3 linked regions of the Drosophila melanogaster genome follow. Changing the gene in region 3 together with the main gene of any one other region gives a genetic interaction. Each region holds a gene or a part of one and is shown on either strand. Other genes may lie near its edges.

Evidence for each region.
Region 1: of faf (region 3) and pbl, changing one enhances a phenotype caused by changing the other (phenotypic enhancement), as found in Drosophila melanogaster (one study listed by BioGRID).
Region 2: of faf (region 3) and Prosbeta6, changing one suppresses a phenotype caused by changing the other (phenotypic suppression), as found in Drosophila melanogaster (one study listed by BioGRID).

What each region holds. Positions count from the first base shown.
Region 1 is NT_037436.4:7,910,040-7,913,639, forward strand, and holds the start of pbl (pebble), read right to left. Parts: upstream 1,916-3,600; 5' UTR 1,420-1,915; coding exon 1,383-1,419; intron 1-1,382. Other genes in the region: CG8281 (uncharacterized protein), read left to right, coding at 2,568-3,600.
Region 2 is NT_037436.4:16,608,740-16,612,487, forward strand, and holds Prosbeta6 (proteasome beta6 subunit), read right to left. Parts: upstream 1,680-3,748; 5' UTR 1,580-1,679; coding exon 1,491-1,579; intron 1,416-1,490; coding exon 797-1,415; 3' UTR 661-796; downstream 1-660. Other genes in the region: CG4098 (uncharacterized protein), read right to left, coding at 1-468; Su(P) (suppressor of ref(2)P sterility), read right to left, coding at 1,999-2,090, 2,153-2,559, 2,624-3,378. UniProt on the Drosophila melanogaster protein: Non-catalytic component of the proteasome, a multicatalytic proteinase complex which is characterized by its ability to cleave peptides with Arg, Phe, Tyr, Leu, and Glu adjacent to the leaving group at neutral or slightly basic pH.
Region 3 is NT_033777.3:31,774,810-31,778,638, reverse strand, and holds the start of faf (fat facets), read right to left. Parts: upstream 1,620-3,829; 5' UTR 1,457-1,619; intron 1,397-1,456; exon of another isoform or gene 1,075-1,396; intron 1,002-1,074; exon of another isoform or gene 888-1,001; intron 468-887; 5' UTR 174-467; coding exon 1-173. Other genes in the region: CG2126 (uncharacterized protein), read left to right, coding at 2,087-2,194, 2,257-2,390, 2,443-2,655, 2,719-2,891, 2,946-3,080, 3,137-3,288. UniProt on the Drosophila melanogaster protein: Ubiquitin C-terminal hydrolase involved in development and the imd/NF-kappa-B (IMD) signaling cascade. Required for eye and embryo development, and plays a role in compound eye assembly and oogenesis respectively.

The sequences.
Region 1 (3,600 bases), on a different chromosome or scaffold from region 3:
CTGTGTAGCGGATTTTGTCAAATAGCAGAGCAGAGTCATCAAAGAAAAATCTTGTAATAAAATTACGTACGTATCCCGCGGAAGCCTTGACGTAGGCGAAGAGCAGATTCCGAAGGTCTGCGGGCCATGTAAAATGCCATTAGCATTGAGGGACGGAAAACACGGACTACAGGCTATATAGTCATAGTTGTATGGGCATGTGCGCCCTGTCAACATGTGTAAATGGAATACGAGGTAATCGGCCAGCGGGGTAGGTAAACCACCCGGAAAGCAAGGATCAAGGATTCTGTGCAACAAGAGGAGGAAGTAGAAGGAGCGAAGAGCCTGTCGAGCAGGATAAATTCTTCTTCTTACCTGGCGGCAAGTATTAGAGCGGAGCAGACAGAATAAGTACACAAAGATATCATGTAGAGTTGATTTCAAAAGTATCTACATACATATGCACATTTAAAGGCTAAATAACATCAAAGGAGAATTGATTTTATAACCTAACCAAATTATAAACTTTTAATTGATATATGCTTTATTTGCGCCTCAAATTCGGACACAAAATACATTAAATGATAATTTTATTTGTTTATGCCGCGCGCTGGAAAAATTCCTGCCGTACAACATATTTACACGTATTTTTTAAGGCAATAACCTTTGAAATTGTGTGGTATTTGCAGTTACACGTTCTCGTTGCGGAAATCGTAGGCTTATGGAAAGTATAACAATTTTAATTGCCTAGAAACAATTTTGTTTTTAGTTAAATAAAAATGTTAAAAATATAATAAAAACTTTATAGCAGAGATTTCTCTTTCCCATCAATACCTAAATCTATCTTTTGTTAATTGTTTACTTTTTTAAGATTCGATAGTTTCTTGTTTACTTTCTTTTATAGCTACAACTCCATGGCTAAAAACGGCTGAATTCGCATCAATGATAACAGGAACTGATCGCTTAAATTGTTGTTGCTTGTCCTTTCTTTTTACTCTCACAACAGTTAGGGCGCCTCAGTTGTTGTTGTTGTTCTTGCTGTCGGTACAGTGTCGCCGAAGAGAGGGAGAGTGAGGGGAAACGATGATGAAGAGAGGGAGGCATTTCGCATTTATGCGATAAATATTTTCTACACCGAAATAAATTCAGAAAAAAAGATTAAAATATCTGCGACACGATGCCGTTGCTTTTTTAGTCACACAAATACACACAAAGATGTACTTATAGTCGTTGTTATTTCATTTTATTTTTTTGCATTTGCTGGCAGCGACATTTTTTATGAGGATCTTTTGGCCCCGAATGTGGTTTTACCCCGTACCCAACCCCTTTGGGCGACATTGAAAAATGATAAATTCGCCGGCCATTTGGAGCTGCCACGCCCCGCGCCCTCTTTCAGTACTCACCGCACTTCGATTGCTCTTCAATGGTCTCCATTTCCATGGATCTTCTGCAGTTACTTTTTTAAGGCGAACAACTCGTGGAACATACACAAAAACACACACCAACAGAACTCGAAACACAATAGAACGAACGCACAAGGAGACAAATAATTCGTTTGTACTCGATTCGTTTACTTTCATTAACTGGACGCTGTTTTCATGCATTTAGCGCGCATCATTTCCATGTTTGTTTGTTTTTCTACTTTTTGTTACAATTTATTTATTATTTAATTAAAAAGCGGCGGCTCACGAAAACACACACACACAGACGCGCATAGGCAGCGTCGCCCGGTTCTTCGTCCTCTTGTTAGCGATACCGCGTACCTGCTTTAGCAATTTAACCAACAAAATGATCAACAATGTAAGCGAATTGCGCTCAACGGCTGCGCGTCGGAATCACAAATCAAAACTCAACGGACAAACGCGTCTGTTTCGAATTTTTTTCGCTGTAGTGTGCCGCGCAGTGTAACCGTCGCGGGGGCGCCAAGAAATACGCGCAAATGTGATGAACGAAATACCAGAATCAATCGGCGCTAAATAATGGTCACACTTGCAAGGGGTTGAAGGTATTCCCTGTAATGCTATATAACTAAATTAAACGACTATGGCTATAAAATAGTTGTAAGCTGCACTATATTAACAATCAATTAGAACTGTTTTCTTCGTTTAAGTTGTTTTTGGCCTGTCGATAAATTAAATTTGGTAATATCCTACTATTGTTGCAGTTGTAGCCTCCAATCATATTTTTCATGCAAGCTATATAAGCTACAGTTAATTTTATGTATGCTTGCTCATATATTTAATAAATGAATGCCTAAAACTACTTGCTTTTGTGCTACTTTGTTTAAATATACGCGCTTGATAACAACGAGTTGACCGATAAATACTGCTGGCGAAGTATCGATACCAGTGACAAGCATTGCCACTACGTCCGCACTTGTTGCTGTATCTTCACGCTCACGCACACTCGCACACAACCATTACGTCAATATGGCAAACAATCTGTCAAACGCGCAATTACAACAAACACAGTTCGTTCGCATTGACAGTTGGTCAATAGGTCCATCCAGGATTCGCTGAAGTGGTGAAGATAGCCAAGGACTGCAGCTGGCGTGGATTGGCAGAGGGTAATCCAGAGATCCGCGCAAAATGCTGCCACAAACGCCGCCGCACGGATTGAAGGTGATGTCGGGAGCGGAGGAGAACCGACACTATCTGCGCGCCTTCATCCAGACATACAGGGATCTGCCCGTGCTGTGGGACACATCGCTGCGGGACTACACCAATCGGGAGAAGCGGGCGGAGGCCTATTTGCGCCTGGTGCCCATATACCATTATCTCAAGCGGGACGCCACCGTGGAGGATGTGAAAAAGAAGATCAACACACTGCGCACGAACTACCGCAAGGAGCTGAAGGTGGTGGAGAGTGCCCTGCGATCGGGCAGCCTCCACAGTCCACGCTGCTGGACCTTTCAGGAGCTGGACTTTCTGCGCAACTCGGAGAAGTTTCTAGCCGTCAATCCCGCCTTTAAGAACGAGCCCAACTTCGCCTTCGGTGAGAGCAGCAATTGCCCGAGTGCGTTTCTGGAGAGCCAGGGAGCAGCCCTCCATTATCCAGCACCACGCGCTGGTGGTCAGACGCCCAACATTTCCGAGATGTTTCACAAATCATTTGGAGCTCCGCCACCGCCACCGCCAGCAACCAACCATGTGGATTATGGGAGCAGCAAGCGAGCCAGGCAAACGCCGCCATGTACGGGAGCAGGAGCCGGATCTACTGGCGGTCCTGGGGCAACAGGCACCGCCCACAACACCGACGAACTACTCAACATAGCCTGCGAGTATTTGGCTGGCACATATCCGGAGGAGGAGTCCATCGCCCGCACCTGGACGCACAAACTGAAGCGACTGCCGCGCGAGCAGCGTCTTCTGGCCGAACGTTTCATCAACGAGATTCTCTTCGAGGCCGAGTCCAACAATCTGCATCGCGGATCTGTGCAAATCAACAACAGCTTCGAACCCTACGTTCGCTACGAAGAAACGCCAAATGGTCACGAGGAGCAGGACAAATCACAGAGCCCCAGTGTGCACACCTCCAGCGAATCCAAGCCCAATGTGTCGGGAGCGAGCGGAAGCGGGGGAGGAGGTGGGCCACCGGGCAGCACCACCACCAGTGCGGGCA
Region 2 (3,748 bases), on a different chromosome or scaffold from region 3:
ACGCTTCCAGCGCGTGACGATTGGATCTGCGGCATGATTTGGACCCCATCTGCCTAGCGAACCACGTCCGGTTAGTCCGGTACGCCCGATCGGATTTAGGGGCAGTCCATTCTGCACGTTGTAGGCACCGTGAAAGGATTCGCGGTTTACCTGTCCATCCAGCTGATTCCACTGTGGCCAGAATGTGTCGCTGGGCAACGGCGGATCAGCCCACACCTGCCCGCCAATATGTGGCGCCGTGTACGCAGGCGGGCAGTAGTCCGGGAACGGCTCCGACCAGAAGACCTGTTCGTCGGAAACTGGGTACCGGAGGACTGAGCTGCGCGGATACATGTTGTTGCGGCACATTAGGTGCCGGAAAATGCCCGGCTTCACCAGCGATGACATCATTTGGGCGGAGGTTAGCGGGTTTTCCAGGATCAGTGGCAAAAACAGAAGCGGCAGCAGTGCAAACTCGAAACTCGTCATTGGACTGAATTCTCTGAGAGACGAACACTAAGAAATGATTTTGTTAACGCACACCAGCGGGCACAAACTTAGCTAGCAAAATGGATTTGTTGGTACGGGGAAAGCTGTACTATTCGCACAGCCTCTTCTGTGAGCACTGCTTGGGAACGATTTATTTCTAGGACCAGCTGGTCACACTAGGCCGCATATTTTAAATCTCAAAGATTCGGTTTATTACGATGTTTTGTTGTTTTGGGTAAATACAAAAATTTGAAGCCAACTAACTTAGAATGCCTGGTTTCCACCGAATGCCCCTAACCAAAAGAAACGGCAACATCCTCGCCACAGGCTAGTCCTGACGCAGCGTCAGAGTTCGTACTTCAATTCCATCTTTGGTTATGATGTTGATCAGCACAGAGTCGCCGGTGTAGATGTCGCGCTCAGCGGCAGAGATGAAGGTGTCGGAGGCAACGCTCACGGCCCGCTCCTTGGTTAACTTGATCTTGTCGGCGTCTTCCAAATTCATGTTCTTGTGACCAATCTGGTTGTCCAGCACCGGTTGCAGCAGGGTGCCGGCAGTGCCGCCGGCGCGGTATGTAGCCTTCTCGCAGTGACCGATGGGATCGTAGGAGTAGACGACGCCCTTGCCCTCGTTGTCAATTCCAGCCAGAATGTTCGACACGTAGTACGGGAAGAAGCGGCGATTGTACATGGCGATGGAGAGCATCTGGGCCACGGCCTCAGTGGTCATGGTGCGCAGATGGGTATGCTCGTAGCTCTGCATGCGCACCTTAATCGATCCGGTCAACGAGAGCGTGTCCGCCCAGCAGCCTGCGGAACCCAACACTGTCTGGGGCGAGAGTTTAAAGAGTTTACTCTGCGTTCGCGAGTGAATGTTGTAGCCGCTGCTCAGGCGGGTGTCCGCTGCAATTACGGCAAAGTCATCTCCGGCGATGGCCACAATGGAGCTGTAAACAGGGAAGACTCCGGTTAGATGGAGACATTCTTCCACATCTCGATTCCGCTGGGAAATAGCAACTCACCCGCCATTGGACTCGTAGGGCGAGAAATCAGGATGCTTCATGCCGGGCACCTGGTAGTCCGGGAATTGCTCAAAGCCCAATCTGCTCATGTTTTGTGCTGAAATTCACCAATTAACTCGCCAAGTAAAAAACCAACGAAATGATTTGCAAGTTTGCAAGCGGCTAACCAAAATCACAAAATCAATGTGACCGTTGTTGAGCATCGGATCCAGCCTGCTTAAACGTTATCGATAGGTATACATACGTCGGTTTGGGATATTTTTATTAGCAGGAGGTATTTATTTAGTAAACATTTTTAATTTAACATATAAATAAAATAACAATATAAAACCTAAAATTAATTCCAATTTGTACCATAAACTTGCACTCCTTACGCGTTTTTGACCAAATATATACATTCAGATACCATAAACGAAACGGCAAACTAGATTTGATTAAAATGTATATTTTAATGAACATTTCGGTTATTTTCAACAATCTTTGGATAAAATAAGGGCAAATATTTGTTTTAAGCTATAGCGGCCATGTTTTCAATACGTTCTCTTTGCAACTGCCCACGATTCTTCTCCACCAACGCCTTGACGTCATAAAACCATTTACCTGCGGAAATATGTAAAAAGTTCGTAAAAAGGTACAAAACCCGAGAAAGAAACCTTATTTACCGATGCTGGTGTTTTGCAGACAATCCTTGAACGTCTGACACCCCTCCATGCTTGAAAGCACGCCGAAAACCGATAGATCAGCCAGACTTGGCTGTTTTCCGCCCATGAATTTCGTGTTCCTCTTTTTCAGCTCAGTGGTCCACTGGTCAAGGGCATCGTACATGTGCGACCTGACGTCGTCGCTGAGGGCGTGACGGCGCTTCAGCATCTTGGCTATGGCCCACATGGCGGTGGCACCACAGTAAACCATCAGGTCGCGCTCCCATTTGGGGAAGTGAACGTCCCACTCGCCAGCTTGCGAGAACCACTCAAAAGTCTCTAGGGACTCGCCCATGGTCTGATAACAGTTGGGCGATATTAGATGCACCAAGTGGCTGTCGGCCCAGCTTCTCCACTTGCGATCGGTTCTAAGAACAGACACTCAAGGTTAAAAGATTTGATTAAAAGATTACTTGACCCTGGTTAACTTACTCATCCGTTTCCTTGGATACTCCCTTGGGCGTATGCTCGCGGTACATGAGGAAGTATTTATTCAATATGTCGTTCTTCTTTTTGCCATCATCGTCGAAGAAGGAGGTGTGCGGATAGAACTGTGCCAGCTCGCCGATGTCGGTGCGCTTGTCCTGCAGGTGGGTGGCTATAAGGGATATGATGGCACTTGAGTCCACCATCTGGACGTATTTGCCGTCCTGCTGTCGGATGAGCACCATCGGCACCTTCTTCACCGACGACCAGCGGATGTCCTGCCGTAGGACGGCATCCACTTCGACCACCGCATAGGATATGCCCATGTAGTCGAGGAAAGCGCGCACCTTGCAACAGAAGGGACACGTCTGGAACTGGAACAGCACAATGTCCAAACCGGACGTGTCCTTGGGGTTGACATAGCGCTTGGTTATCCGCACTCCAGCCGGAATCCCGTCCAGCCGCGTCGGCTTCGTCTCCTCGTGCTCTTTGTGCGAGCTGCCGTCTGTCCACCGCTGGTACATCGTATACACCGATCCGGTGGCCGCGCCTACGGTGGCCCCCAAAACTGCGAGCTTGAAAGTTCCATTCGGCTTCTTTCTGCCTCCGCCGTTTTCAACCGCTACAGCAAACTGGCGGCGTGCGAATGCAGCATCCGGATTCCGTTTAGTCAACAGGCGCAAGGCTCCACCTCCGCTTGCTGCCGGCGGGGGACGGACCCCTGCCAGAACGGTGGCAGACGCTAGCCGAATACATGACATAATTCGCACGTTTGTTTTGACTTATACTTAATATTATGCAAAAATTAGCGACTTATCAGCCGCGACTATGAGACCAGTGTGAAAAAATACCAAGACTTTTGTAGGGCTCCGGAATATACCATAAAGTTTTGAACATACCTTAAACGGTAACCCTGAAGAATGTGTTGGGGATGGGATATTTATTTCACTAGTGTTAAACTTTATAAAATGTATTTAATAATCCAGGTAATTGAATTTAAATAAAATCAAGCGAAGATTTTGTGCAAGCCTTTAAATACTTGCCGTTAATGAGCTAACAACCTTAAAACTTTGACCTAAAAAAGTTATCGATAGTTTCCACCTGAACTGTTGGTTCAGGGTACCATCTCTA
Region 3 (3,829 bases):
CCTGGCAGACTCGAGTTGGCGACTGTTCCTGTGCCTGTTCCTATGCCCGATCCTGATCCGGCACTCTGCGCCGGACTCGTTGTGGTGGTTGTTGTGCTGGTGGTGCTGCTGCTTGAGCTGGGCGCTGTGCTTCCCGGCTGTCCGGTGGTGTGCCTACGAGTGTCGAACGTCATGGTGGCGGGGTATCCTCTCCAGCCAACTCGTTCTGCGGAGCACCGGAAGCGGATGTTAATGCACGAGCTCTAGTGCCGGGCTAATCCTAATGCGTTCTGCAGTGCGCGTCGTTTTTTGACTGGTGTCTTATGGCAAATGTGAGGTATCCGGGCTTCTGCTTGTCCAGTTTGGGAGTTCCCCGCTGATTTGCTGTTTCTTGAGGCACAGTTGGTCGGTTAGTTGGACTTCTTGCTCTGGGCTCCCTCTTATTGTCCTTTTTCCCAATGCCTGGTCAGCGGCCAGTTTGCAAAAATCTATAAAGTGCAACGAAGCGAAAGAGGCAATAAGAGGCGGATAAATACAGCGCTAAGAGAGAGACCGAAAAGGCCCACATGTGTACGAAGCTCAGTTTTGGGTGTGTGAGTGGTCCTGCGTGTGTGTAAGAGAGCGCTGGGTTGGAATATGAAAAATCAATATTATTTAATAGACGGGGCAGCAAGCGCCAAATAATGCTCCAAAAGCACACAAATTACGCTCTCACCCACTCACACGCACGCACGCTCACCCACAGAACCCTCTCTTTTTGTGTGTGCGTTTGAGTTTAATTTAAAATTGTTTTTGTTTTACGCCTCGCTCTTCATTCTTATTTATTTATTGTTATTTTTTTGGGCAAACAAAGAACATTTTCCTGCCGAAAATTACATCACGTCCAAGTTTACGGATTTTGCACTCACTCTCTATCTCTCTCCGCCCGGCATCATCCTTAAGCGGAATGTCGGTCGGTGGGTGGGAGCCACTGGTGGAAAAAGGGGCGGGGAAAGGGTGTAGGCGAAGGGTGGTGAAAATAACTACGCATAAAGTTATAGAAAGATGCCAAAATTAGCGGTTCATTGGGTGTGTCGAGGGCGGTAAATTGCTCACATTCTTTCTATAGCTTTAAAAGTTGTAAGAGATTAACGGAAGTCACCCAAGGACGGCGGCCAGTGCGGCTTTTTATTATTTTTCACTGTTTTTTCACGCGCACACACACTTCCTCACGCGCACGTACATTTATTTTTCGCAAATGGAATCGAGCGAACTGACGACCGAGTCCCAACTTTTCGCAGGCCTCAAAATGGGCGATTGCTCTTCCTTTCGCCTTTGCTCTGGACAGCGGGGAGCCCTTACTTGGCTGCGCCACTCGAAGCTAGTCGCGGTAACTATTTCGCGAATATTGAGCTTACAAATCAGCCGGCCAATAGACAAAATGGCGTCTGCCGTTGCTGTTGTTCTGCGGTCAACTCCAATTGCCATTGCTTTTTACCTGCCTGCCCGACGGCGAAGAGCTGCGTATCCTGCGAGCGTCGCGGTTGCGGCCACAGGGTTTTTTCTACCCGCTCGTTGTCCAATTCGCGTTAAATAAATTATATTTAAGCTATTTCTTTTGCTAGGGTTGTGCAGTTCGGGCGAACTAGTTATGAATTGAACCGGTTCGCGCGGTGCTTTTTACCAGAGTTATCAGGCCATGCCAAAAGCGCGCCTATCGAACTGGTTTATGTGGTACATATAAGGGACCCTAAATTTAAATTTCTGGCAATTGGGATTTCAAATAAAATCAAATCATTGAAATGCACTGTAAGAATGTACACTCTACTAGTCATGTTTAATTGTAAATAAATATATAAAAACATATAGTATTATTAATTTGATCAAATTAGAAAGCAGTCTTAGGGCCCATTATATAATCTGTAGAAAATAATTTCCTTATTTTTAATACATTTCGCATGTGCTTCTGATGTATTATCATTTTATAAATTAGTATTAATTTAAGTGCACGAACAACCTATTCGTTTATTCAGTGGTCCTACTGATAACGATAAGTCCGATATCGATAGGAGTATTGTTTTTATTTTGTTTAATGTAATATACAATACGAAGTAATTGTTTTGATTTCATGAGAATGTACGACGCGTTGGAACGCTGCCCAGGAGCCTACTGTGGGCGATCACCGCTAGGAAACAACAGCTGGAGCAGCTGCGGGGTCTGTCCCAGAGGATCTCGGGTTAATGTTCTAGCATCCTTCGGAACGGCGCCTGGAAAATAATTTACTTTTATATTGTTCAGGTGAACCAAAGTTACGCATGCTCTCCATGCCGCGACGAGTTAAGCACGTACTCCTGGCTATACCTGGGATTCATGACCATGCTGCCACTTATGATGCACTGCTTTTTCATTGACATGGACGCCAAGGATCGCAAGTGAGTGAACTAATCAAACTGGAAGAAGAACTTACTTAGTGAATTCACATAGGTTTTCGCGGAAGCAGCTGATCTTGACGGCCAGCGCTTTCGTTGAGGTTGCCATATCTGCCATCCTCGCCACCTTGCTAATGGAGCCCATGTGGGAGCTGCGCCTCTACGCCTGTGATGTTCGAAAACTTACTGACTGGTACACATTGTTTTACAACCCCAGCCCCAATTATGAGGCACGAGTCTACTGCACCCAGGAGGCAGTTTACCCATTGTAAGACCCAGCCACCCAAGGCTCCAGGTGTTCACAATAGTCACTTTAATGTTCAATTTCCAGGCAAACCATCGTGCTGGTTTTCTACTTTCTGTGCCTGGTGAACATGTTTCTCATACGCCCGCTAGTCAGCAAAATTATGGATGTGGGGGGCAGAAGCAAGGCGCCGATTTACTCGGCTCTTTACTTCCTGCCCCTGCTCACCTTTATCCATGCGTTAGGATGTGGGTTGATCTGTGAGTACTTAAGTGCTTGCTAATATTTTGGTCTTGAGATCTTTTCTTTTTCAGATTACTCCTTTCCGTACCTTAGCGTGGCCATATCCATGGTAGCCAATGCCATCCACTATTCCCTCAAACTGGATCAAACCCTAAAGGCATTGGTTCACTCGTCGGTGTGGGAGTTAAAAAACGTGGTCATCATAGGTAAGCAAAGTGCGCATTCACCATACATAAAGTATACCAGCAGCTTACTTTCCCAGCTGTGCACTGGATGTTGTTGGCCTACGGCCTCACCTCCCTGAATTACCACTATGCCTTTATGTGCTTGGTGCCCTTCCCCACACTGTTCTATATTTTGACCGTACGTTTCACGGATCCTGCCGAGTTCCGGGAGCTGGAGTCGAGAATTTGATGCGGCGACGTCCAGATGCAAATTTTTCACGCCCGGGGAACTCGTCGATCGACTGTTGTTATCTATGTGTAGTGTACGCGTCAATTAATTTATTTACATTTAGTATGTAGCTCAGACTCAGACCTGTTCCGAGTATAATTGCGGCTCTAAAAGCCGTTGAGAAACAAATTTAGGAGCAGGTCTATTTAGTGTTTTCGTCGCACAAGCTTAATTCATTCTTCGTTCTTTTCGTTTTAATTATATTTCACATTAATTATACACATATAGTAATATTAAATACAAATCATCAGTTTCCCATCTCTAAAATAGTTTTTACACAATACGTATTGCTACATATTGGATTTGGATGCCGCATTTCGCGTTTCACGTTCAGATCCTTCGTTCCAGTGTGTGAAGTCGGAGGCATCGTAGTCGTCTTTGTCGTCATCGTCGTAATATTCCCATATCGTAGAAAAAATAACAGAAGTCAAGGACAAGGTGCAGCAGATGAAGAGCGAAGTATAAAGGAAATCAATACCAGCCAAGAGAATTAAGTGTGATA